Linked DNA regions of Cricetulus griseus. Each later gene encodes a partner of the first gene's protein in a complex. Links are inferred from orthologs where the notes say so. Each region holds a gene or a part of one and is shown on either strand. Other genes may lie near its edges.

Evidence for each region. Proteins that work in one complex are often made in the same cells at the same time.
Region 2: the proteins of Gipc1 (region 1) and Plxnd1 are in contact, whole or in part, in a crystal structure (PDB 5V6T), measured with the Mus musculus proteins. The link is inferred for Cricetulus griseus from reciprocal best matches to the Homo sapiens genes GIPC1 and PLXND1. Residues at the interface, in NP_061241.1 of Mus musculus: His61, Glu141, Ala142, Leu143, Gly144, Leu145, Thr146, Ile147, Thr148, Asp149, Asn150, Gly151, Phe156, Lys158, Arg159, Arg190, His191, Tyr192, Glu193, Ala195, Arg196, Leu198, Lys199; in NP_080652.2 of Mus musculus: Glu1400, Met1889, Glu1893, Arg1899, Gln1902, Gln1904, His1905, Glu1908, Ile1918, Tyr1919, Cys1921, Tyr1922, Ser1923, Glu1924, Ala1925.
Region 3: the proteins of Gipc1 (region 1) and Myo6 are in contact, whole or in part, in a crystal structure (PDB 5V6E), measured with the Mus musculus proteins. The link is inferred for Cricetulus griseus from reciprocal best matches to the Homo sapiens genes GIPC1 and MYO6. Residues at the interface, in NP_061241.1 of Mus musculus: Glu273, Ser274, Tyr275, Met276, Gly277, Ile278, Arg279, Asp280, Glu282, Leu283, Thr286, Asp310, Phe311, Ala312, Pro314, Glu316; in NP_001034635.2 of Mus musculus: Ser1055, Lys1056, Trp1057, Lys1058, Tyr1059, Ala1060, Arg1084, Arg1085, Leu1086, Val1088, Tyr1089, Trp1092, Lys1093, Asn1096.

What each region holds. Positions count from the first base shown.
Region 1 is NC_048596.1:160,754,342-160,757,850, reverse strand, and holds part of Gipc1 (PDZ domain-containing protein GIPC1), read left to right. Parts: intron 1-156; 5' UTR 157-188; coding exon 189-476; intron 477-1,193; coding exon 1,194-1,379; intron 1,380-1,472; coding exon 1,473-1,653; intron 1,654-2,309; coding exon 2,310-2,422; intron 2,423-3,399; coding exon 3,400-3,481; intron 3,482-3,509. UniProt on the Homo sapiens protein: May be involved in G protein-linked signaling.
Region 2 is NC_048601.1:28,869,829-28,874,086, forward strand, and holds the start of Plxnd1 (plexin-D1), read left to right. Parts: upstream 1-1,453; 5' UTR 1,454-1,468; coding exon 1,469-2,785; intron 2,786-4,258. UniProt on the Homo sapiens protein: Cell surface receptor for SEMA4A and for class 3 semaphorins, such as SEMA3A, SEMA3C and SEMA3E. Plays an important role in cell-cell signaling, and in regulating the migration of a wide spectrum of cell types.
Region 3 is NC_048597.1:191,082,401-191,086,581, forward strand, and holds the start of Myo6 (unconventional myosin-VI), read left to right. Parts: upstream 1-1,376; 5' UTR 1,377-1,565; intron 1,566-4,181. UniProt on the Homo sapiens protein: Myosins are actin-based motor molecules with ATPase activity. Unconventional myosins serve in intracellular movements. Myosin 6 is a reverse-direction motor protein that moves towards the minus-end of actin filaments.

The DNA of each region.
Region 1 (3,509 bases):
AGTATCTGGAGGTGTCCTGTCATCAGGACTGGGATGAGGGTCAGTGGTGGAGCACTGCCCCAGCTTGCACCAGGCCCCTGGGTATGAGGATGGTGTTGGTTGGTGATGGGCACCCAAGGCTTACTCAGAGCTTGAAACCCAATTCCTTTTCTGCAGGTCTCCTGGCCGAGTCCCATTTCTGGCTGCTCATGCCACTGGGACTGGGGCGGCGGAAAAAGGCACCACCTCTGGTGGAAAATGAAGAGGCGGAGCCAGGCCGCAGTGGCCTGGGAGTGGGGGAGCCTGGGCCCCTGGGTGGAAGCGGAGCAGGGGAATCCCAGATGGGCTTGCCCCCACCTCCCGCTGCCCTCCGGCCTCGCCTCGTATTCCACACCCAGCTGGCCCACGGTAGCCCCACAGGCCGCATCGAGGGCTTCACCAATGTCAAGGAGCTGTATGGCAAGATCGCTGAGGCCTTCCAACTGCCAGCTGCTGAGGTACCAGTGGGGCCAGGGTCTCCTGAGAGCAAGCCATAAGCCTAGGCATGCATTCTTGTGAGCTGGGGCTCAGGTGCTTGTGCACCCACTGGCCAGCAACCCCTGAATCTAGGAGGTATGGCTGCAGCAGGATACTGAGTTCCTGTCGGGCCTTGAGAGACTTTTACCCCAGTAGGTATATGGGGATGGCTTTCCCATCAGACCTTGAGAGGCTCGTAACCTAGTAGGTTGTGGGGCTGTGAGTGCTGGTTATCCCATCAGGTCTGGAGTAGCCTATGGCCTGGTAGATTGTAGCTGGGTTTCTATGAGGCTTTAGGACACCTATGCCCCAGAGCACTGTGGGAACTGGAGGTCAGGAGCAGCTATTGTTTCCCCATGGTGCACTAGAGGCATGACCCCAAGGTGGAAGCAGAGAAGCCACAGGGAGGGAAACAGTGGGGCTGAGCATCAAGTGGAGATTGGTGGGAAGGGTGGGTAGGAATCTAGACTCCTTTATTCACTCCAGCATTTGAGTGTTCACTGTAAATCAAGCTAGCAATGAGTTCTTACCAGAACAGAAATCCTACTCATAGCATTTGATGTACTAGTGGATCTTGCCCTGGCTCTGGGTGCCACCAATCCCTGGGATAGGTATCTTTTCTGAAGTCCCCTCCTCTCCCAAGTGTTAGGAAAGGTGACCCAGGGAGGAGGGCACAAGCATCTTGCCCACCTCTGCAGGTGATGTTCTGCACCCTCAACACCCATAAAGTGGATATGGACAAGCTCCTGGGTGGCCAGATCGGGCTGGAGGACTTCATCTTTGCTCATGTCAAGGGGCAGCGCAAAGAGGTGGAAGTATTCAAGTCTGAGGAGGCACTGGGACTAACCATCACTGACAACGGAGCCGGCTATGCGTTCATTAAGGTGCCCGGGTGGGTGGCACACCCTTGGTCAGTGGTCAGGGTCTGAAAGTGACCTAGAGTAGAGCTCCCAGGGCTGATGCCTGCCCCTCCACAGCGCATCAAGGATGGCAGTGTGATTGATCACATCCAGCTCATCAGCGTGGGTGACATGATTGAAGCCATCAACGGGCAGAGCCTGCTGGGCTGTCGGCACTACGAAGTTGCCAGGCTCCTCAAGGAGCTGCCCCGAGGCCGTACCTTCACCCTCAAACTCACAGAGCCTCGGAAAGCCTTTGGTGAGCAATCTTTGGACCACCCACTAGGATGACCTTGAATCCTTGAAAAATATGGTCTGCGGTTCTGGGAACCACCAGCAGGTGGCACCCAAGTCTGCAACCAAAGTGAAGCCGGCCCCACCCTAGCACCCTGGGTGCTGGCTGGTAGCCCAGCCTGAAGGAAGTATCCCCCACACCCAACTTCCAGAAGCCATTAGCTCAGCCAAGTGCCCCCAACCCTGGCCAGCCCCCTCAGCCTGGAGAAGTAAGGCTTGGCTGACCTGTATAACTCCCGGGCCCTGCCCCCTTTTCTACCTGGCTTCACTAACTCTCAGGAATGGGCCTGAGGCACCCCTGGTATGGGTAGGTAGGACTGATCTGAGATCCAGCAGTTATGCCCACCCATGGTCATGGGAAAGTGTCCAAGGACTCATTTTCGACCCCCAGCTCTCACCCCTTTTAGTAGAAGTAGTAGAAGTGTCCCTCAATTGTGTTCTCTAGCTTCTTTTATGTCTAACTCCCCCACCCCCCACCCCGCCCTGCCCCTCTCCATTCCTGCAAAGTCCTGTCCTCCTGGAATCCAGCCCCTATCCCAAGGAGCCTGCAGAACTTGGAGATGGTGAGAGGTGGCCTAGCTGCCTGAGTGCTATACTGACTGTATGCTGAAATTCCCATAGATATGATCAGCCAGCGTTCAGCGGGTGGCCACCCTGGCTCGGGCCCACAACTGGGCACTGGCCGAGGGACCCTCAGGCTCCGATCCCGGGGCCCTGCCACAGTGGAGGATCTGGTGAGTGAGCCACCTTGGGCCAGTGACGGCATTCTCATTACCTGAGGGACTCTGGACACCTCTGCTTAAATCTACCTCCTCCCAGCTTTGGGACCTTCCTTGGGCAAGTGAGACTTGGTTTTCCTACCTGTAAAGTAGGAGTCCTAGTAACTTCTTGTCAGAGGGGACCTTGATACAGACAGAAACCACAGCCAGGCATGTAATCTCAGGCAGGAGGATTTCACATTCAAGAATAACTCAAACCACAAGAGCTTGGCACCAAAAAGAAAATGCATGAAAGCCAGCCCAGTGTGGGCATGCACTTGTAATCCTAGATACCTGGGAAGCTGAGGTAGGAGGGTTTAGTGTTCAAAGCTAGCTTGGGCAACTTAGAATGTATCTCAAAATTAGAATAATAATATCTGAATATTGGGGCTGGAAAGATGGCTTAGCAGTTTAGAGCACTTGGTGCTCTTGCAGATGACCCAGGTTCAGTTCCTAGCACCCATATTGGGTGGCTAACACATTAACTCCAGCTCCAGGGCATCCAGTGTCCTCTTCTGACCTTCACAGGCTCACACATAGTACACATACATACATGCAGGCAAAACACTCCTACACATAAGCAAATAAATGTTAAAAAAAAAAAAATAGCTGGGGTGCTGAAGAGATGGCTCAGTGGTTAAGAGCACTAGCTGTTCTTCCAGAGGTCCTGAGTTCAATTCCCAGCAACCACATGGTGGCTCACAACCATCTGTAATGAGGTCTGCTGCCCTCTTCTGGCCTGCAAGCATATATGTAGGGAGAACACTGTATACATAATAAACAAACAAAATCTTAAAAAAAAGAAAGAAACAATAGCTGGGGGTGCAGCTCATTGGTGGAGCTGTTGCCTGGCATGTGTGAGGCCCTGGAGCTGTCCCCAGCACTGAAGGCATTCACTGTGTATAACAGCAGTTCTGTTGACACTACTGTGCTGTCTTGTCCCTCCTCCACAGCCATCGGCCTTTGAGGAAAAGGCCATTGAGAAGGTGGATGACTTGCTAGAAAGCTACATGGGGATCAGAGACACAGAACTGGGTGAGTGGGGGCACCCATGCCTGGAAGG
Region 2 (4,258 bases), on another chromosome or scaffold:
GGAAGTGGGGGTAGCTGTAAGCTGGGCCTGTTCTGCTGACCCCTCAGGCACAGGGAAACCCCCTCCCCACCCTTCCTTCCTATCAAGTGGGAGCAAGGCAGGAGAGGTCACCCTCTGCGTAAGGGCCATCAGCCTTAAGTGACAGCTGCAAGCTGATAGGAGATCCTGACTGAGAACCTGTAGCTGAAGGACTGTGCCTTCAAACAATGGAACTGTGCCCCAACTTCCCCCTTAGCTGTGGATCTTGGGCTTCACTTCTGGGGCCTCAGTTTCCATGTATGTAAAATGGGTTGAGTATTTCTGAGGAGGTTGGCACTTGGCATGGTCCTATGTGGGCATCACCATGCTGTGGAGGGCATCACATGGGGCTGGATTAGGATACCACTACCTGCGTCTATCCCAGGGACTACCTATTCCTTTGTGGGTCAAAGGAGACCGGTGCCCAGTGCCAGGTCATATGTGGGACGACTTATGGTCTTCTCAGAACCCTGGACTAAGGGCAGGGGCCTGGGGGTCCACAGGGTCTGGCTCCACACAGAGACCAATGCCCTGTGGTGTGATGTCGTGCTCAGCCCAGCCTGCCCCATGGTATAGTAAGAGGGACATACTTCCTCTTGATGTATTTTCTACTTTTGCTGTGGATTCATTGCCAAGCTTGTTCTGCAGAGCCTGCTGCTTGCGAAGTCCCTTTACGGGACAGTTTGGGGGGACAGATCATGGGGTCTCGGGGCTTGATGTCCCTTAGTCCGGCTGGCTTTTAGAGTGAGGCTTGGGGAGCAGCATGTGAGGAGGGGCTGTAACCAGAAGCAGCAGGCGGTGGAGGAGAAATGGAGGGCTTCAGGGGACAAGGGAAGGAAGACAGTGGGGAGGGAGAGCTGCGGGAACAGAAAAAAACGCAGTTGAGGGAGAGGGAGTGACGCGGGAGAGGCACGGGGCGGAGTTGACAGGAGCGAAGTAGGGGAGTCGGAGAGACTGAAAGAGCGAAACTCCGCGCGGCGGTGGAAGACAAACCGGCGATCAGAAACAGAAGGAGAAAGGACCAGGAAGAGGAGAAAGACAGGAAAGATAACAAACAAATGTGAGCAAGACCTTCCAGGTGGCCAGGAACCAGGAAAGAGGCAGGCAACTTGCGACCGCTGGGAGAGAGCTTCGGCCGGCGGTCTGCGGCGACCCCAGACCGTGAGCCGGGGATGGGGCGGGGCCCAGGGGCGTGGCCCGGGGCGAAAGGGTGTGGGCCAAGCGGCTGGGGCGGGGAACTGGGCTGGGGGCGTGGTCTCGGCGGAGCCGCCCCCGGGCCGTGCGGCGCGCCAGAGTCGGGCCGGGGCGCCGGGGCCGGGGGCGGCAGGCGCGGGCAGGAAGCGCCTCGCGGCCCGGGCCCGCCCCCCGCCTCTCGCCGCCTCCGAGCTCCCGGCTCCCGGCCGCGCCGCGCCCCATGCACTCGCCGCGCCGCGCGCCCGCGCTCGCCTGGATGGCTCGTCGCGCCGCGGGCGGCGCACCCCCTAGCGCCCGGGCCGCTGCGGCCGTCCCCTTGCCTCCGCGCTCGCACTCGCGGGGCCCGGGTCTGCCGCCGCTGCCTCTGCTGCTGCTGCTCGGAGCGGCGCGGGCCGGCGCCCTGGAGATCCAGCGCCGCTTCCCTTCGCCCACGCCCACCAACAACTTCGCCCTGGACGGCGCGGCGGGCACCGTGTACCTGGCGGCGGTGAACCGCCTGTACCAGCTGTCGAGCGCCAACCTGAGCTTGGAGGCAGAGGCGACCGTGGGCCCCGTGCCGGACAGCCCGCTGTGTCACGCCCCGCAGCTCCCGCAGGCCTCATGCGAGCACCCGCGGCGTCTCACCGACAACTACAACAAAATCCTGCAGCTGGACCCGGGCCAGGGTCTGGTGGTCGCGTGCGGCTCCATCTACCAGGGTCTGTGCCAGCTGCGGCGCCGGGGCAACATCTCGGCCCTGGCTGTGCGCTTCCCGCCTGCCGCGCCGCCCGCCGAGCCGGTCGCCGTGTTCCCCAGTATGCTCAACGTGGCCGCCAACCACCCCAATGCATCCACCGTGGGGCTGGTGCTGCCGCCGGCCGCGGGCACGGGGGGCAGCCGTCTGCTTGTAGGCGCCACGTACACCGGCTACGGCAGCGTCTTCTTCCCGCGCAACCGTAGCCTGGAAGACCACCGCTTCGAGAACACGCCCGAGATCGCCATCCGCTCCCTGGACGCTCGTGGAAACTTGGCCAAGCTCTTCACCTTCGACCTCAACCCGTCCGACGACAACATCCTGAAGATCAAGCAGGGCGCCAAGGAACAGTACAAGCTGGGCTTCGTGAGCGCCTTCTTGCACCCGGCGGCGCCTCCGCGCCGCGCGCAGCCCTACGCGTACCTGGCGCTCAACAGCGAGGCGCGTGCGGGCGACAAGGACAGCCAGGCGCGCAGCCTGCTGGCGCGCATCTGCCTGCCCCGCGGCGCGGGCGGCGACGCCAAGAAGCTTACGGAGTCCTACATCCAGCTGGGCTTGCAGTGTGCGGGCAGCGCGGGCCGCGGCGACCTCTACAGCCGCCTCGTGTCTGTCTTCCCCGCGCGCGACCTGCTCTTCGCCGTCTTCGAGCGGCCCCAGGGCGCCCCAGGTGCCCGCAACGCCCCGGCCGCACTCTGCGTCTTCCGCTTCGCCGACGTGCAGACAGCCATCCGCGCGGCGCGCACCGCCTGCTTCGTGGAGCCGGCACCCGACGTGGTGGCCGTACTGGACAGTGTTGTGCAGGGCACCGGGCCGTCCTGTGAGAACAGACGTAACATACAGGTACGCCCGGGTCTGGGGAGCCTGTTTGGGGATCTGTTGTGCATGCAGGGATGTAGATGTCCCGGAGGATTGGTTGCTGGCAGGGGTGCTGGCCCCGGAGTATGTGCTCGGTCACAGGGTGTGCACACTTAAGGGGAGGAGGGTCTGTGTTGTCAAGGTACCCAGGTGTTCCCAGAAGGCAGACAGAGCACCTATAGCTCAGATCGGCAGGTGGGGGCCACAGGTGCAATGCTGAGCTGAGAGAGGCAGTGACAGTAAGAGTGTGTTTAGGGAGACTGTGGGTGCCCTTAGGACATGCCACTGCACCCTGGCAGGTGTGTGAGTAGGTGTGGCAGCAGAGCCCTGAGGATAAGGGGAGGGTGGGGCAGAAGGGCTAAGTATGTGTGTGACAAGGCACCCACTGGAGGCCCCAAGAGTGTAGACATGCAGGGATATTGACTCCCAGTAGGAAATTGTGTCAGGAGACCCTGGAATTTGGGAAGTGATTGCTTCCCTGGAGAGGTCACCTGGGTTGCAAACAGGTGTGTGCTCAAGGCCAACTTTCACTCACTCAGGAAAGAGCAGCTGAGCACCTATTAGGTGGCATGGCGGACCTGGAGTGACCACCAGAGTTGTGAGCTTTTAACTTAGTGTGTCGAGTGTCCTGTCTTCAACGAATGTCTGTTCTTAATTCCATTGTACATACAGACGAAGAAAGCAGGTATAAGAGTTTGAAGGGACACTCAGGTCACACAGCTGAGAACTAGCAGAGGTGGGACTTGAACTCAAGCTGTCTGCCCCCACCTCCCCAGCCTGTGTCCATGGTGCTGGGGCTTTGCTGCCTAACAGACACAGCCCAGCCGGACAGATGGGGCCACCGAGATGGAAAGAAGACTTTGGCAGGGGATCTTGGCTGGAACAGAGAACTACAGGGCTGAGGATGAGGTAGGGCCTGGGGGCGGCAAGAGGGCAGGTTAGGGGTCACCATGTGGGCTGGCCTTGGGTGCAGCCAGTCCCCTTCAAGGATTTCACAGCAGAACCCTCTTTTTATTGGCTTCAGAAGGTAGGCTTGTGGGTCCTCATTTTCCACCCCCAAATGACATTGACTTTGCAAAGCGCTAAGTGGAGCCTTCTGTGCTTGCTGAGGCCCCCTGTCTTGTCCCTTTCTCTGTGGTCCCAAGTAGTTGCAAGACTCTGTCATGGGCGTGCCTAGATTCCTTCTCTTGGCAAAGACTCGCACAGCCGCCTACCACCCTGCTGGTTCACCCCTCACAGAAAGGTCATAGAGGGTGAGAGGCAAATGGACTGTCTGAAGCTTACAGCCCTGCCACCAGGCAGGGTCAGGCCCCCTGTGCAGTGCTGGGGTGAGGGCAGCCACCATTCCCTACAGAATGGCTTGCATGGCTGTGCCTGGCTGGATCTGGAGGCTGGGAGAGAAGGAAGGGGAAGCTCTGTGGGCAGGGAAGGCAGCCCTCTGTGGGCCCCTAGCTGATG
Region 3 (4,181 bases), on another chromosome or scaffold:
TGTATCCTCTCTGCGTGTCTGACCCTCCCCCACCATTTTTGTGATGGTGTGGATTGAACTTGCATCCTCCTGAGTATCTGGAATCACAAGTATGAGGCCCAGTTTGAACACGTGAAACTTGTCTTCTCTAAGAATTGTCCAGACAGTGTCCAAGTGTTTAGAGCCCCTGTGTTCAGAGGACAATTTGAGTAGTAAGTTCAACCGTGTGGGTTCTGGGGATCGAAAGCTGGGCTTCAGGCTGGGCTGCACGTGTCCTTACTGCAAGTATCCTTACTGGCTGAAACATCTTGCCAGCTCCTTATTTTGTTTTCTTAGTAGCTTCTTTTCCTTATAAAGGCGATGTTTCAAATTTGCATGGGAATGTAGTTTTTAATCTAAAAAAGATGACTCATATGACCTTATAAAGAAAGTAAAATTAAACAATTAGAAAGATAAAGCGGGTAAGTTTATTTAATCCTATAAAACCAGCCCACAAAGGATTATCATTATTTCGAGGCTAGCCCAGGCTACATGGCAAGTTCCCAGGCAGCCTGGTTATCCACTGAGATTCTCAAGAGTCCGAATAAACAACAAAAGGGGCGGGGTAGGAGTACAGGGGCTCTAAGAAGTCAATATGACATCGTGGGAGGCCAGCCACGGCAGGGAAAACTTCCTTCCGCGGTCCAATCCTCCAAAGGCCGAACAGGAAGTTGACGCAGGCAGGTGAAGAGCTGCGTGGGGAGCACAGGCCTGGTTGCCACCTAGAGACCGCATGTGAGTCCCTCTGCAAAACGCCTGTCCCCACTGACTCAAATTTCCTCCAGCTGACTCTGCGGTGCAGATCCACAGGACCTGCGCTGCGGGACTGGAAACAACCACGACTGGGACGAAGGGAACTTAGTGTGGCCACCTGTAGCATGCTCCTAGCAGGGATGCACCCAGTGTCTCGGTTCTGGGCTGCTTCCCAGCCATGAAGCCCCGCCCTTCCCAGGCTGCAAGTCATTAAGCCCCGCCCTTTTCCAGCTCCGCATTCGGGAGTCCTGAGGCCACGCCCCACTCAGCACTGGCTCTGCCAGGCCTCCCCTCCCAGTCCGCCCGCCAGGGCGTCCAGGGACCCCGCTCTTAGCAGTCGCGCCCACGTACCCCCCACCACACGTCTTCAGGCTTCGCCCCTCGGTTCCTTCACTCCTAAGACCCCGCGCCTTGCCGGTCCGCCCCCTCCTCCTCCCTTGGACTCCTCCCCTCTCAGCCCTCGAGTCTTGAGGCCCCGCCCCTTAGGCTGCCCCCGCCTCTTGCGCATGAAGACCCGCCCTTTCTCCAGCCGCCCCGCCCCTCTCCCACTAAGTCCCGCCTCCGCCCCGCCTCCCGCCCCCTTGGGCGCTCCGTAGCAGTGACGTACGCTGCAGGCTGGGCACTCAGCAGGGCTCCGGCCAGCGGGCGGAGACCGATCCGGGATCTGTCCTAGCAGGAAGCGAATCCCGGCGGTCGTCGTCTCCGGTGCTCGCTCTCCGCCGCGGCGTCGCGCTCTCCCTTCGCGCCCGCAGCCCCGCAGCCTCTCCGTGGTCCTCGCGCACCTGCCTCCCCGGGTGAGTGTGGGCGCCTGCACGCCCGCCTGTCCTTGTCGCCTTGGCCTCTGCTCCCGGCCGGGCTCAGACCGGAGCTCTGGCTTCCCTTGCCCGGGCCGGCGGGGTGCCTGTCATCTGACGCTGCTGCGTCCCCGGTCCCGGGAGTCTCTCCTGACTTTGCGAGATGGTTTTATTTTCTCCTTTTGGAAGCACACTGAAAATTCTACACAGACTAGTCTGTTGTCAGAAGTAAAGATCAAATGATGCCATTAATAATTTAGCCGTGTCGAAGACCATGGTGGCATTCTACGGAGCTGGAGTTTTAGTTCCTGAGTGGTCTCGTATCTTGAGTGTGAATTTTACGGATATGTTGATGAAAATTTTTTTTAAAAAACTAACTTAGTTAATTCCAAAACTCCTTAAACTAATTTAAACACGCTGGCTCTGGGTTGTATCTCTAAATAGGAAATGATTTAATAAGGTCATTCTTAGGTTATCTATGTCTGGAATATTTACACAGAGTTACATTTTATCTGGCGAGAAGTATGTAGGGCAGGGCTGTTTAAATCCTAATGTGGAGCATTGTTGGGGCGATCTCATATGTGCTGAATAAAAGTTTCGTTTGCTATCCTGGTACAGTTGTAGGAAGTTCGAATATAGTCGACTTGAGACTTTTAACAGCTCCTGGGGCTCAGCTGCAACTATCTGCACACCATAAAATGTGAGTCTCGATGGTGGTCATGGTACAAAGGTTGGCCGCCGAACAGCAGCATTTCTGTACAAATTAACTCAACTTCAAGATATCTTGGCTTGTGGTTTTCCAACTGGGAAATGTTTAGTGAAAAAAGTTACCTTAGTGCCCTCTAGCATTAATTTTAGAAATAGCCAAAATGTTACAAGGGGACCAAAGGAAGAGTCAGAAACAATGCAGCTCTTCAGAATAGCTCATTGACTTTTAAATGTCATTTTTGGGGTTTTCCATTGTGCAGGAGTAAACATGCACAGTGGTAAACAAGTCTTTTTAGGCTGATGCTCATCTGCCCATAGTGTTTTTATTTTGTGTGTGTGATCTGTTACTTATTTTTTTTCCTTCTCTTTTCTAGTTATGTATCTACTTTCAAAAGTTACTTGTAAATGACAGGGACCTAATACTACCATTAAGAAAAGATTATTGTGATTAAATGTAGTATAGAATATACATATGCTCTATTATCTAGACACATGAGCAAGAAGAGAGAACGACTATGATATTTTATGGAAACTGCCACCAGGTATTAAAAACAAAGGTGGTAAATTATAGTTCATAGGGGCTTATCTGAAAGGGATTTTCCCCTGTTTATGTGATCAAGTTTTAAAATAACAGTGGCCAGGAAATCTGAGAGAGGCCAAAGGCTCTTCTGTCATCCTGTTGTGACTTTGCCGGGAGTCTGTGGTGGATCATTTATTGTTTAGACAACTGGTCTGTATCTGGGTTCTGAAAGGCAGTCGCCTTTAGACAGTTTTAAAGATTTCCACCATGCAAGGTCTGAATATATAGGCAGTCCACATTTTAAAAAATTCACTAGTTTTAAAATTTCTCCTGGTACATAAGGCTCCACTTAGCATACATAAAATGCCAGTTTAAAAATAATCAGGTTTGGAAGTACAATACAGTGGGTAGAGCTCTCCCTAGTATGTGTGAAGCCCTGGGTACCAAAATTTTCATTTTTCTGTATTAAAACATCGTATTTAAACATAAAAGATTGATAAAAATGTTACAATTTGAATACCTCTCACACAGTATAATGGGGATTCTCAGAAAGAGATACTTTGCAACAGTTTATAAACTGGCAATTTAGTATCAGGGTGATACACACAAGCTGAAGGCTTGATTTACAAAATAATTTTCCAGGTTGATGGTCTTGTTGTTTTATAGAGGAGAAAACAAGAGGCTCAGAGAAGTAAATACTTGCATTGGCTTTGGAGGGGCAAAGTCCAGACTCTGGATATGCAGAGGAGTCTTCTGACAGTGAAGTCCCCCACCCTGTTTGAACAGGGCTTGCCTTGGGTTTCTGTTTGCCTGGTGAACTATTGAGACTCCCTTGTAGAACTGGTCTGGAGATTTGAAGATGCTGATAGTCCATGCATGGACTCTGGAGCTAATTGAAAATTCTGTCTTCTTCTTTAAGGCCTCGAGCAGTGACCCAATGCAGTAGCATCATTTCTGGTGTAGTTCCAGCATGTAATAAGTATTATGTGCTTTTCATTTTGATGGGCTTATAGGATTTAACATTGCCGTCTAATCCTGGATTGATTTCATTATAGCTGAGCAGTGTATGAAGTTTCTGTTTAGGATAAAGCTTCAATTTTTTTTCCTTCATGTGAGTTAGATTGTTGCTCCCAAATACAGTAGCTGTCTCTTAAATGTTATTCAATTAACTCTAACCTTAGGGGCTGAAACATGCTCCAGGCTCAAGATGTTCAGGACTATGAGATGGCTCAGCAGGTAAAAGCACTTGTCCGGAACCCTGATGCCCTGAGTTTGAGCTCATGACAAACAACTTCTGTTAATTGTCCTCTGACTTCCACACATATGCCATGTCACATAGTCATAAGCAAATAATTGTAATTTAAAAATTAAATATTAAGATGTTATCC